Linked DNA regions of Drosophila melanogaster. The protein of the gene in region 2 interacts with the protein of the main gene of each other region in a biochemical or structural test. Each region holds a gene or a part of one and is shown on either strand. Other genes may lie near its edges. The genes, in order: beat-VI and side-II.

What was found.
Region 1: the proteins of side-II (region 2) and beat-VI form a complex in vitro, tested with the Drosophila melanogaster proteins (one study listed by BioGRID).

The regions. Positions count from the first base shown.
Region 1 is NT_033777.3:28,416,110-28,421,301, reverse strand, and holds the start of beat-VI (beaten path VI), read right to left. Parts: upstream 3,095-5,192; 5' UTR 2,435-3,094; intron 1-2,434.
Region 2 is NT_033779.5:14,969,255-14,974,344, forward strand, and holds the start of side-II (sidestep II), read right to left. Parts: upstream 3,047-5,090; 5' UTR 2,289-3,046; intron 1-2,288.

The DNA.
Region 1 (5,192 bases), on a different chromosome or scaffold from region 2:
ACTTTTCCTGCACCCTTCCCAAAGGACTCGGAAATCAGCAAAACGGAGTTGAAATAATGTAGTAAATTTAAGGATGCAAAGAAAAATGTAATATCCGAGAACATTATGGCCCCGAATTTGTTGGCCGTATGTGTGCGGTTTGGAATCTAATTTCGTTCTGGAATAGTAACATTCACTAAAGTGCATTTTATACTCTTTTCTATGTACATCTCTATTTATATCAAATAACCTACAAATTTTGCAATGTAGCAAACAGCAAATGGAATACATTTACATTTATCTTATTTTCATTTCGATATTTTCGCTGAAATTCTGTCAATGTTTACTATTAAATTTTATTTCTGATGTGGTATTAAAATATAATTTGACCATGTCATTTTATTTTAATAAAGAGAGTATTACTTTTATATATCATCTTAAAGTCCGCAGATATTAGCTTTCAGTTTAATTTATTTTACTCCATTTGCCACCTGTCTGCAATTTCTTCAGCTGATCCCCCGTTCGATTTTTCTACCTAGTGCTGCCAACATTCTGCCATCTAAGCCATCCTCTTGGCCCGAGCTGAAATAACCGTTTCAACTTTGACTTTGGTGCTCGAACACGATTCCTATATGGGTTTGGTGCTCTCAATCTGACAATCGCATTGGAAATGCGTGTGCGCCACGCTTTAATGCGAAATTCTGATTGCGCTCGAATGGCTTCATTTATTTTCGCCACCAAACGACCAGCAAACAAAATAAAAAAAAACAAGAAAAATTCAACAAGAAAACAAGCAAAAACGGCAAAGAAGAAAGCTGCGAAAAAAGCGCAAAGGAAAAACAAACCCGACAGTTGTACATAATATTTCACTTATGCATGTGCGCCCCCTCAGAGCCTGTGAGCAAAGTGAAATGAATGAACGAATAAACGAACGAATGAATGAGTGGCATGCGTAGCGCTAGGAAATTTGTTATAGCAATTTGAACTGTCAACAGAAAACCGAAAAAGTAAATTAAGAAACATTTGAAATTTAATTCACTTGCCAAGCCGAGTCCTTCCGGTGACTATTGCCCCTATGGGGCACACATAAGTGTATACTCGCTGCGGCTGCAGTACGTGTGTGTGTGTGTGTGTGTTTGGGTGTGAGCATGAGAGTGTGTGTGTGCTCGCATTAGAGCGTAGAGCTCGTGAGTGGCAGCATCATAGTCGCAGAGCATACCTGTCTGCCAGGTGACACCTCCGCCACTTGAGTAACGTAACACAGCAACGCCGGGAACAACTGACAGACCCAAAACACACATTTAACTCAGGAGCTCCAGCAACAGCACTGTGAAAAAAACTCGGGACATTCTACAAGACACACGAGAGTGACTTAAGAATGCAGAAGTTTGGCGCTTTAATTGCTGTTTAGATATTTGGTACACCCCAAACTAAAGATATGAAATATCTCTGAGCTTAATCTCATTAGTATTTCGGAATATTAATAATTGATTTTTATGTTATTTGAAATTTATGAGAAGTTTAGTTTTACCATTTTTAAATAGCCACATGTTACATACATCTTTCGGTTTTAAAGCTTGTTATTTTCCCTGTGCACAAACATTTGGAGACCTGCAAAATTAGGCGAGTGTCACGAATTTAAAATAACTTTTAATTCATTCTTGATGAACATATGCAAACGTTGTTGCCCCAGCCCGAGTGGCACACGGCGTATGAGTGCGGCTGGGAAAGAGCCCCCCCGTGCGAATGCGAACGGGAATGTGTGCGTGAGTGTGTGGTTGCCACGCCTCTCGAGTGCCACATAACTCGGGTTGAGCATAAACAACCGCACTCGCATAAATGTTCGTTAAACTCAACCCAACTGAGACAGAAATGCGGAGCCGAGAGCTCTATAGCTCCCCCTTTTGCCACCCACCTGGGCTACATAATTATTTAGTTTCCAGTTGGACGGGAGCCGTGCACACACATCTCGTACTCGTACTTGGGCAAATAGATGGGGGGATTCCCTGTCTTCGATTGTCATAAATCAACAAGGACCTACACGGCCCAGGATCGGTTGATGGGCCTACAAGGGGGCCATGGACCGGGCTGTCAACCGATTGTTGGCCGTTGGCATATGCTCGCTCCGCTGACCAAATGCCCAAGGCCTCTGACAGGTGCAAGTTTGAGCGACCCACTTAACGGAAAAATTCAAATTTCTGTTTGCACTTGCCGAACTTTCCAGTTCACTTGCCAGGGGAAATAAGCGAAAAGGTATATCCGGTACAGCTGATATAGCTGGTATAGCTGGCATTGCTGGTGGCAAAGTGAAAAGTTAGCGTAAATTATGCGCCAACGTGCGCGGCCCCAATAAAAATAGAAAGAAAAATTGGGAAAACAAGAACCCAGCGCAGAGAAAACAAAGAGCAGTGGCAGTGCATTGAACTGGTACCTTTGTATAGGATGTGATACGAACCTTATGGGAATGTTTCTGCTCTCACTACCACGTTGGCGGTAGTTGTTGTGGTTGCTGCTCCTTTCAAAGGATCCTGCCTGCCTGCCTACCAGCCAGCCAGCCGGTTTATGCTTTCTAATCCACGCACGTTTCGCTTTTAATATTTATTTTGCGCTTTTTCACACTTTGCACACTGAGACACACTCTCACTCACTCAGACATCAAAGGATAATCGGGCAGGTGGAGGATTCTCTGGTCTGGAGGTCTGCAGGGGTTCTTCTTCCGCTGATTATCGATGAACCCCACGCTCCGTTGATGCGGATGACGGAATTTGGATTACGGCTTGGTTACTGCTTTCGTTATGCACTGCGGGCGGCGCGCACAGTTCATCAATGCAAATTGCAAATTGCCAATGGAACCACGGAGCCGCGTTATCGGCGGGTTATCAGTGCCCACTAGCGGTGGGCATTTGGATTTCGGTCTCTTGTTTATATAATTTAAATACGTTTATGTTTCGTCTGCGAAATTTTCCAACTACTTATGGAACATTCGCATGGATATATATGTGCTGCACTCGGGCGGTGGACAAATGTTATTTAATTATTGTTGTTGTTTACTTTTGGGCGAAGGCAGCTTTTTCCCAGTGGGAGCGCTATAAACACCGTTACACTAACCGACCCGCACGAAGGACCTTTTTCAACTGATTCGCACTCGAAGTCGCGGCGGAACGAGGCAGCTCGACAAGCCGATGTTCTGTTTTCGGTTGACGGGCCAGAAAGCCGAGCTCGCATCCTGTCGGCTGTGTGTGGATCGCGAGCGCTTCGGCATTTTGTGGATCAAAACGATTGGGAAAAGGACCACAGGACCCTTTTGTGGATGCTGTGTGCCAAGTCCAAAGCGTTCCGCCTGATAAGAGGCTGCAACGCGTTTTTTCGCCCCGCGCGCATTGACAACAATTTATTTTTTGCACGTTACTCGCATTTAAATGTTTTTGCTTATTGTCTTCCGTCTCTCTCTCTCTCTCGCTGGAAATTTGTGTGTGTGTGCGCACTTTTTTAATCACTTAAAAATGTATGTGCCTTTTTTCGACACGTGCGTGTCAAAATGCTACCAAAGGGTTAAACGTCAAAAGAAATAAACAAGCGGCGGAATGGGTAAGAGGGCTAGAGGAAGACACACGCTGGCTGGCAATTTGTTGCCAAGTTTATTACAGTGACAAACAGGCCAGGTCCGAACGAACTGCACGCGCTAAAGACGTCACGCAGCGATATGCAATGCCAAAGTTAATGGCTATAATCCCGAACGAGTTGGACAAGTCAGGCGGAGGAGCCGTTTCTTTTTACGAGTGCGTAATAAGAAAGCCGGAGACGTGCCAACAGGACGTGATGGCACAAAAATCAGATGGAGGCTGGCTACACTCTACACCGGCTCTACTGGAGTTTTTAAATTTAAGCACGCAACCCATCCTAATCCCGACCAAATTAAAAACACTATCGTCCTCATCGTCGCCAAAAGAGAGAGCGGAACCGGAAATGAGAGAGAGCTAGAGAGAGAGAAGGAAGGAATGAGAGCGCTTGTTGGCCGGGCTAAGAGTCTCGTACTGACTAGGTTAGTAGGCCAGCCAACTTAAGCCAGCAATTAAATTCGAGCCCAGCTTGCAGGCTGCATATCGACTCGCAGGATGCCAGGATCCAAGGTGTTATCCTGCCATGCGTGTGCATTGCACTTGAACGGCTGCTTTAAAGGTGTGCCTTTGCCATTTGACACTCTCTTGAGCCCGGGAACTAAAGCTACAGACTTTGCTAAGTATTTTTCAATTAAAACGTTGGCGAAACTTGCACGCATGATAAGCACAAAAGTTTTTCATTGTCAGCGCCTAAAAGCATGCTACACAATGACAGCCCGGAAACTTTCGCCTTCCCGCATCGCAGGACCAAACCCGAAACCAGACAAGTCTCGACGGGCGCGCATCAATCTCTCGGGCCCCCATAGCATAACATAATGTTGATACAAGTATTCTTGCCACTTCCGATTCGCCTCTTTTTGTGCGACTGCCAGCGACACATATTTAAATCAGGATCGGGTGACTCGAATCGGCTTCCGGACGCTTAGGCTCTTGAAAAATTAACTTGGCCGCCAACTGGCGCCACTAAATAAGCACGATTCTGACTTTTAAAAAGATAGAGTGCACTAAGAAAATGTTTATGGTCCTAATAGCTATTAAATTTTAGGCTGCGTCCCTTCAACTCTGGGAATATAAAAGTTTATCCGAGAATTTAAAAGAAATGCTATACTTTTTGAGAAGGAAAATTAATTCAGTAAAACGCTGGAGTGGGCTAAACTAAATCTACATGTGTAAAACGACGCTGCATACAAACATTAAGAGTAAAAAAAAATAATTTCTTCGAATTTATACGTATGACCATAGAAACGCGTGTTTCCAGGGAATTTGAGGGACATTAACGCCGGCTTTTCTTCGAGTGTCGCTTTTGAAAAGCTTCTAATCTAAGTGCTATGGAATCATCAGCGATGTGTCGGCGACATGTGGGCAGGGATTGGGTGTCCTGGGGGATATTGGAGTGCGAAGTGACCCTGCCCAGCATTAAACTGGACAAAGCTGTGCCTGTTGCTGTCCTGCGTTCAGTATGCCTTTGCGTTTGGGCCTGCCTTTGCCGCCTGTCCCGTTTTCCTTGATGTGGATGAGGATGTGGCTGTGAGTGTGGATGTGGATGTGGATGTTTCTGTCTGCTGACATGAGCTGCAAAGTGCGGCACGTGTT
Region 2 (5,090 bases):
GAGGCTATATTCTAAAATATCTTTATTTTAATACAACAAAAAAGTAAAATAAAATTTTCAAGACATTTGTACCATAGCTCAATTTAAAATTTTTGCTTGCTTGAAATACCGAAATTCAACAGAACAAAACTCAGGGCAAATGAAGATTTACATTTCAATTTGCATTAGTGCAAAAGGCAAAGAAAAACTTTCTTAATGCACGCATTAAAAAAGAATGATGAAATTGCATAAAACTTTAACTGAGTTGTAAGCAAAACTGCGGTGGGTTTGAAGGAGTGGGAGGGTAAAAAGTACATTAAAATCACATTAACCCGTCAACGGTGAAGTTTGGTTGGGTATGCTTAACTTTTGTTTATACGTTTCGGCTTAATGCCTTTTTGAAGTAAGCACACACTCGTGGATAATGTTATACGTACTCCTGATAAGCCATATATACAAATATTTATATATATATGCATGTAAACTAACCCCTAACTGCTTATCCCTTTGGGAAATGTATCTTTTCCCCTCTCCTATTTTCGTTGGACCCATTGCACGTAATTGACTTTTCGCCATAAATTTGTACTCCAACAAATGCAGGCGACATTCCACTCTGGCTTTTTCATTTCCCACTCCCTTGGCAGCTCAATTAGCCATTAAGCTTTTCGAAATTGTCAAAAATGTTTTAAGGGGGACAGTACGCCAGCATAGCCAATCAAAAATTCAGCCTACGCACTTGTATCTCTACATTTGTATCTCGGCATTTGTATCTGCCTGTGGCAGAGGACAACCAGAGCTTCGGTCAAAAACGCACACCCCTTCACCGTTATCTCCGTTTTTTGGGTTAGCCGTGCGTGTCCATTTAGACGCTTTGCATTGGCTCTGCTGGTGGCTCATTTGCATATTTTAATTGTCCAAAAACGAGAGGGAAATTCGTAAAATCACTGCAAGACTTAAATATTAACTTTGCCAGAAGTTTGTAATTTCTCACTCTTTCACTTCCATTTACTGAACTAATTTATTTATTTTCTCCGAAACTAAGCAGCAAATGTAAGCAAGTACTTCGTCTTGGAACAGGAGTGAAGCGAAAGGCCTGACGTTGTCACTTTTCTCTAATGAAAGACGGCATGCAAATTTAATAAACAGGCGAAAGGCATGAAATTTGGGTCCTCTTCAGGTGGGCTGCTCACAACTTTAGTTGGCCCGAGCTCGAGGAACTGCAACTTTAGGGCCAAGACAGTGACTGCCCTTCTTGGCAGTGTTCCGTTATTTGACAGAAAATATAATGAAATATCTAATTAAAATTAATTTTTATTTATTATCTTGACATAATTGTAACACTCATTTTTAACGAGCACTGTTTAAATTACACATTACTAGAGTACATTAAGAAAGTTCTGAGGCTTGAAACTTTTGAAGTCATTCCATTATTTCTTTAAAGCCAAATAAACATTTTATTTTATTTAATAAAACAACATTAAATTTACATATGAATTATTCTGCAAAGTGAAATTCAAATATTGGTAAAAAGTGTTGATATTTTATTTCTACAAGAAATTACCAGAAGCATTTACTTATCTTTTGGAAAGTCTTTTTATACATTTTATACCACTACTTTATTTTGCATTGCTAGACAAAGGAATGGAAATAAAAAATATGAGCAAGACGGAAAAAAAAAACAAGTAAATAAACTTTAGGCAAAAAGTTTTAGGCAACTTTCTGGCAGTCAGTTGGCGCATTTTAAGTTACGGCAATCGACCCAGTGGCGTAGCGGAAAAGAGGGGTATCACGGGGGAATATAAGTTGCTAGCGACGAGGGAAAAGTGAAGGGGCGGCAAAAGTGAAAAACTGGCGCATCGAGACAAGAGCTTAAACCGCGAATTCCACAGCTTCAACACTGAAAAAATCCCAGCCATATCTGCAGTAGCAAATAACCAAAACCTTACAACATTTTTTGAAAAATATATAAATTAAAAAAAGATAAAAAAGGCTAATTTTACTTCTAATTATTTTAGTTTTCTCACAGTCACTGTTAACTATATCAGTCCAACCAGACGAACAATTTTATAACGAGACATAATTTCTGTTTTAATTATACATTTACCACTTGAAAAAAGAACGTAAAAAGAATTATGTAACATGGCAAACTCACTTAATTAATTAGAAAGTTACCAGAAGCTTAATTTATCTGAGACGTTTTTCTCTAACTGCAGCAACTGCGAGGGCGGTTGGCAATTTCAACTTTAGTTAGTAAACTTTTGGGCAAAAAGTCACTCTTAAAGAGCAAAAAGTGAGCTCGTCCAACTTACCTGGCGAGCAATTTAAATTTGTCCCACGCAGGATAATCCTTTATTGCAGTTGTTGCTATTTGTGTTTGGTGGTGGTGGTGCTGCTGCTGCTGTTGCTTCTGTTGCTGCTTTTGTTGCTAATATTATTGTTGCTACTGTTGCTTGACTTTTGTCACGCACAAGAAGGCAGTGGGCCAAGCCAACTTTGAACTGACCACGTGACCATCAAAACACAAACAAACACACGGTAACGAGAATATACACACCGGGTCACACGAACAACAACAACACGGACACAGACACACACACACACACAACGAAGACACTGGGCCACTTGCAAATACTTAGTTGCTGGTTTTAATGTATGCCCGAAACGAGAACAGGGCAATTAAATCGCCTAAGAGGAGCCGTAGTGTAGCCTTTTGTGTGTGCAACAATATCAGCTGCTCGCTGAGTGAGTCGCATGATTTTATTTGCCTTTATTATTCGGAAAACCAACAGCACGCAAACCTCAATGCAGTTCAAAACCCTAACCAAATTGGCGCAGGTATATTCTAATTAGCTCTTATTGATTTCGATAATTGGTCCTTTCTGGCGGTACGAGAATTATATTTATTCGCGAAACAGCGCACCCGATTCTCAGCGTTTGTGGGTGGGTGTGAGTGTGTGTGCAGGACGAGACCCGATAACTTCGCTAATTCGATGGCTGCCGCAGCGAGCGTCAGCATCCCTGCAAAACCACGTTCAAAACAGTCCGACGGCTGAGCTTCAACTGAATCGGCCTGGCCAACTCAGAGCCCCATAAGCCCCACAAGCCCCACAGACCCCACCGTCCCCCGCCGGAAGTCGGCCGCCCGAAGCTCCGCTTCTCGGTAGCCGAACGCCGAGAACGAGCCCGATCCGAGCTGCAGGATAAGAGCCGAGCGCAGCAAAGGATAACACGAGCGCGAAACTCACGAGCATCTCGCAAGGCAGCTGAGTAAAGAGAACGCAATGAATGAACTGCTCGCTCTCTGTGTTAACAAAATTAAATTATTAAAAATGCAATCAAACGCTTTTGCTAATCTTTTTCAACTCACTTAAAAAGAGATTCATATCCTTAGCACAGATATAAATAAATAACAAAATGCCTTGTAAGCAAGCTCAAAAAATTATATATTATTTTCACCAACATAAGCTATGGAAATAATATTTATTATTTTTATCTACTGTTCACTCTATTTACTTTATTACTAACTTACTTTAGTAAGTTTTAAATAAAACCTTTTCCGAAATATGCAATAAGGTAAAATATTTTATCTATAATAAGTGTACTTATTGTCTCTATTATCAATCGCCTATATTTTGATCGGTAATTGTGAGATTTAAAAATTGGAGATAAGAAAACATGAGAATTTCATGCAGTAGCAGAATTCAAAGTTTCAAAACGAATAATCACAGAGCAAAAAGCAAAGAGTAAAACTCTTATACTTTCCTCAGTTTTGGTATAAAAGTGGTTCAATGCTTGGCTAAGCTTGGACTCCACCCACTATGTAAATTTGTAGTGTAAAATGTTGAACATTGTGTAAAATGTTGCCTTCTTTCAATTTAAAAAAGTTGTTGAACTAACATAATGCTGAAATTAAAATTAATAAGATAGTTAAATAATAACAAGGTAAAGAGGAAATATTTCAAGGAATTAATAGCTATCAAAAAGCAAAGCGAATACTGAATAATTGAACTCTGTCAAATAGTTGAAAGGAAAAGCGAGATTTGATTTTGATTTTTTTACTGTAGCTTTTACCTTTCCATCTGTCACCAATTACAGATCAAATCCAATCAAAACTAGGGACTACCAGCTAATTAACTACAGAGTTACCTCATCCTCTTGCGCCATGGCCTCCTTCCACCAGAGTTTTATCAACCTTCGTCGCATCGCTTTTAACTGCAATCACTCAGAGTAAAAATTGTCGTCAAGATACGTACAAACTCATACAAGACGCGTAAAAAATGGCAAGCGAAGGAGACAGACAGAAAATAAAACCCGAAAATGAATTGCAGCGAAATGTTCAAACACACTCTACGAAATTGACTTAAATAAATAAATGGCATAAAAACAAAGACAAAACACATGCGCAGCAAGAAAGTGAATCGAGAGGCAGGGGACAACGGCGTGTCATAGAAACAAAGTGCATTCCCAGTGGTGGAAAATTGGGTGGGAAATTCCTAAAGATGAGGCGGATTGGGGCGGGGCCGGTCCGGGCTTGGTTGTTGTGTTAGCTTGTTGCAACATTTTCATTTCATTTTATTCAGTTCAGTTCAGTTCAGTTCAGTCAATGCAATGCAATGCAACGTTCGAATGCAACAATTGCAAGTGCAGCAAAGACAACGCTTAGTAGCTCATCCATTTTCATTTGTATTAAGCAAAAGGCAAAGGACATGGCCAAGTTGCAGAGGAATCTCAATCTCTTCGCGTTTTCCGCTCGCGTGAAATAAAAGCGTTGGCATTACTCAGCAAATACTTGTTTGCTTGTTGCCTTGACAAAAAGTCTATAACCCACCCCCAATAACTACTCTTAAACCCCCCCCCCCCCAAAAAACCCCCTTCATTCCACCATTTTATGCTTTCCCCGGGGCTGCTCGTTAGCACAGCTGCCAAGAGAATTTATCTTACTCTCCCACGAATGCAACTCGATTGTATTTTATTTTATTTTTGCCCTCATTGTTTCTGTGTGGCATATTGGACGTATTGTTAGCCCCACAATGATCGATGCAAATTGATGCGTATTGTTAATGGAATTTCTTCCATGCGCAAAAACAGTATGGCAAAGTATGCAACACAAA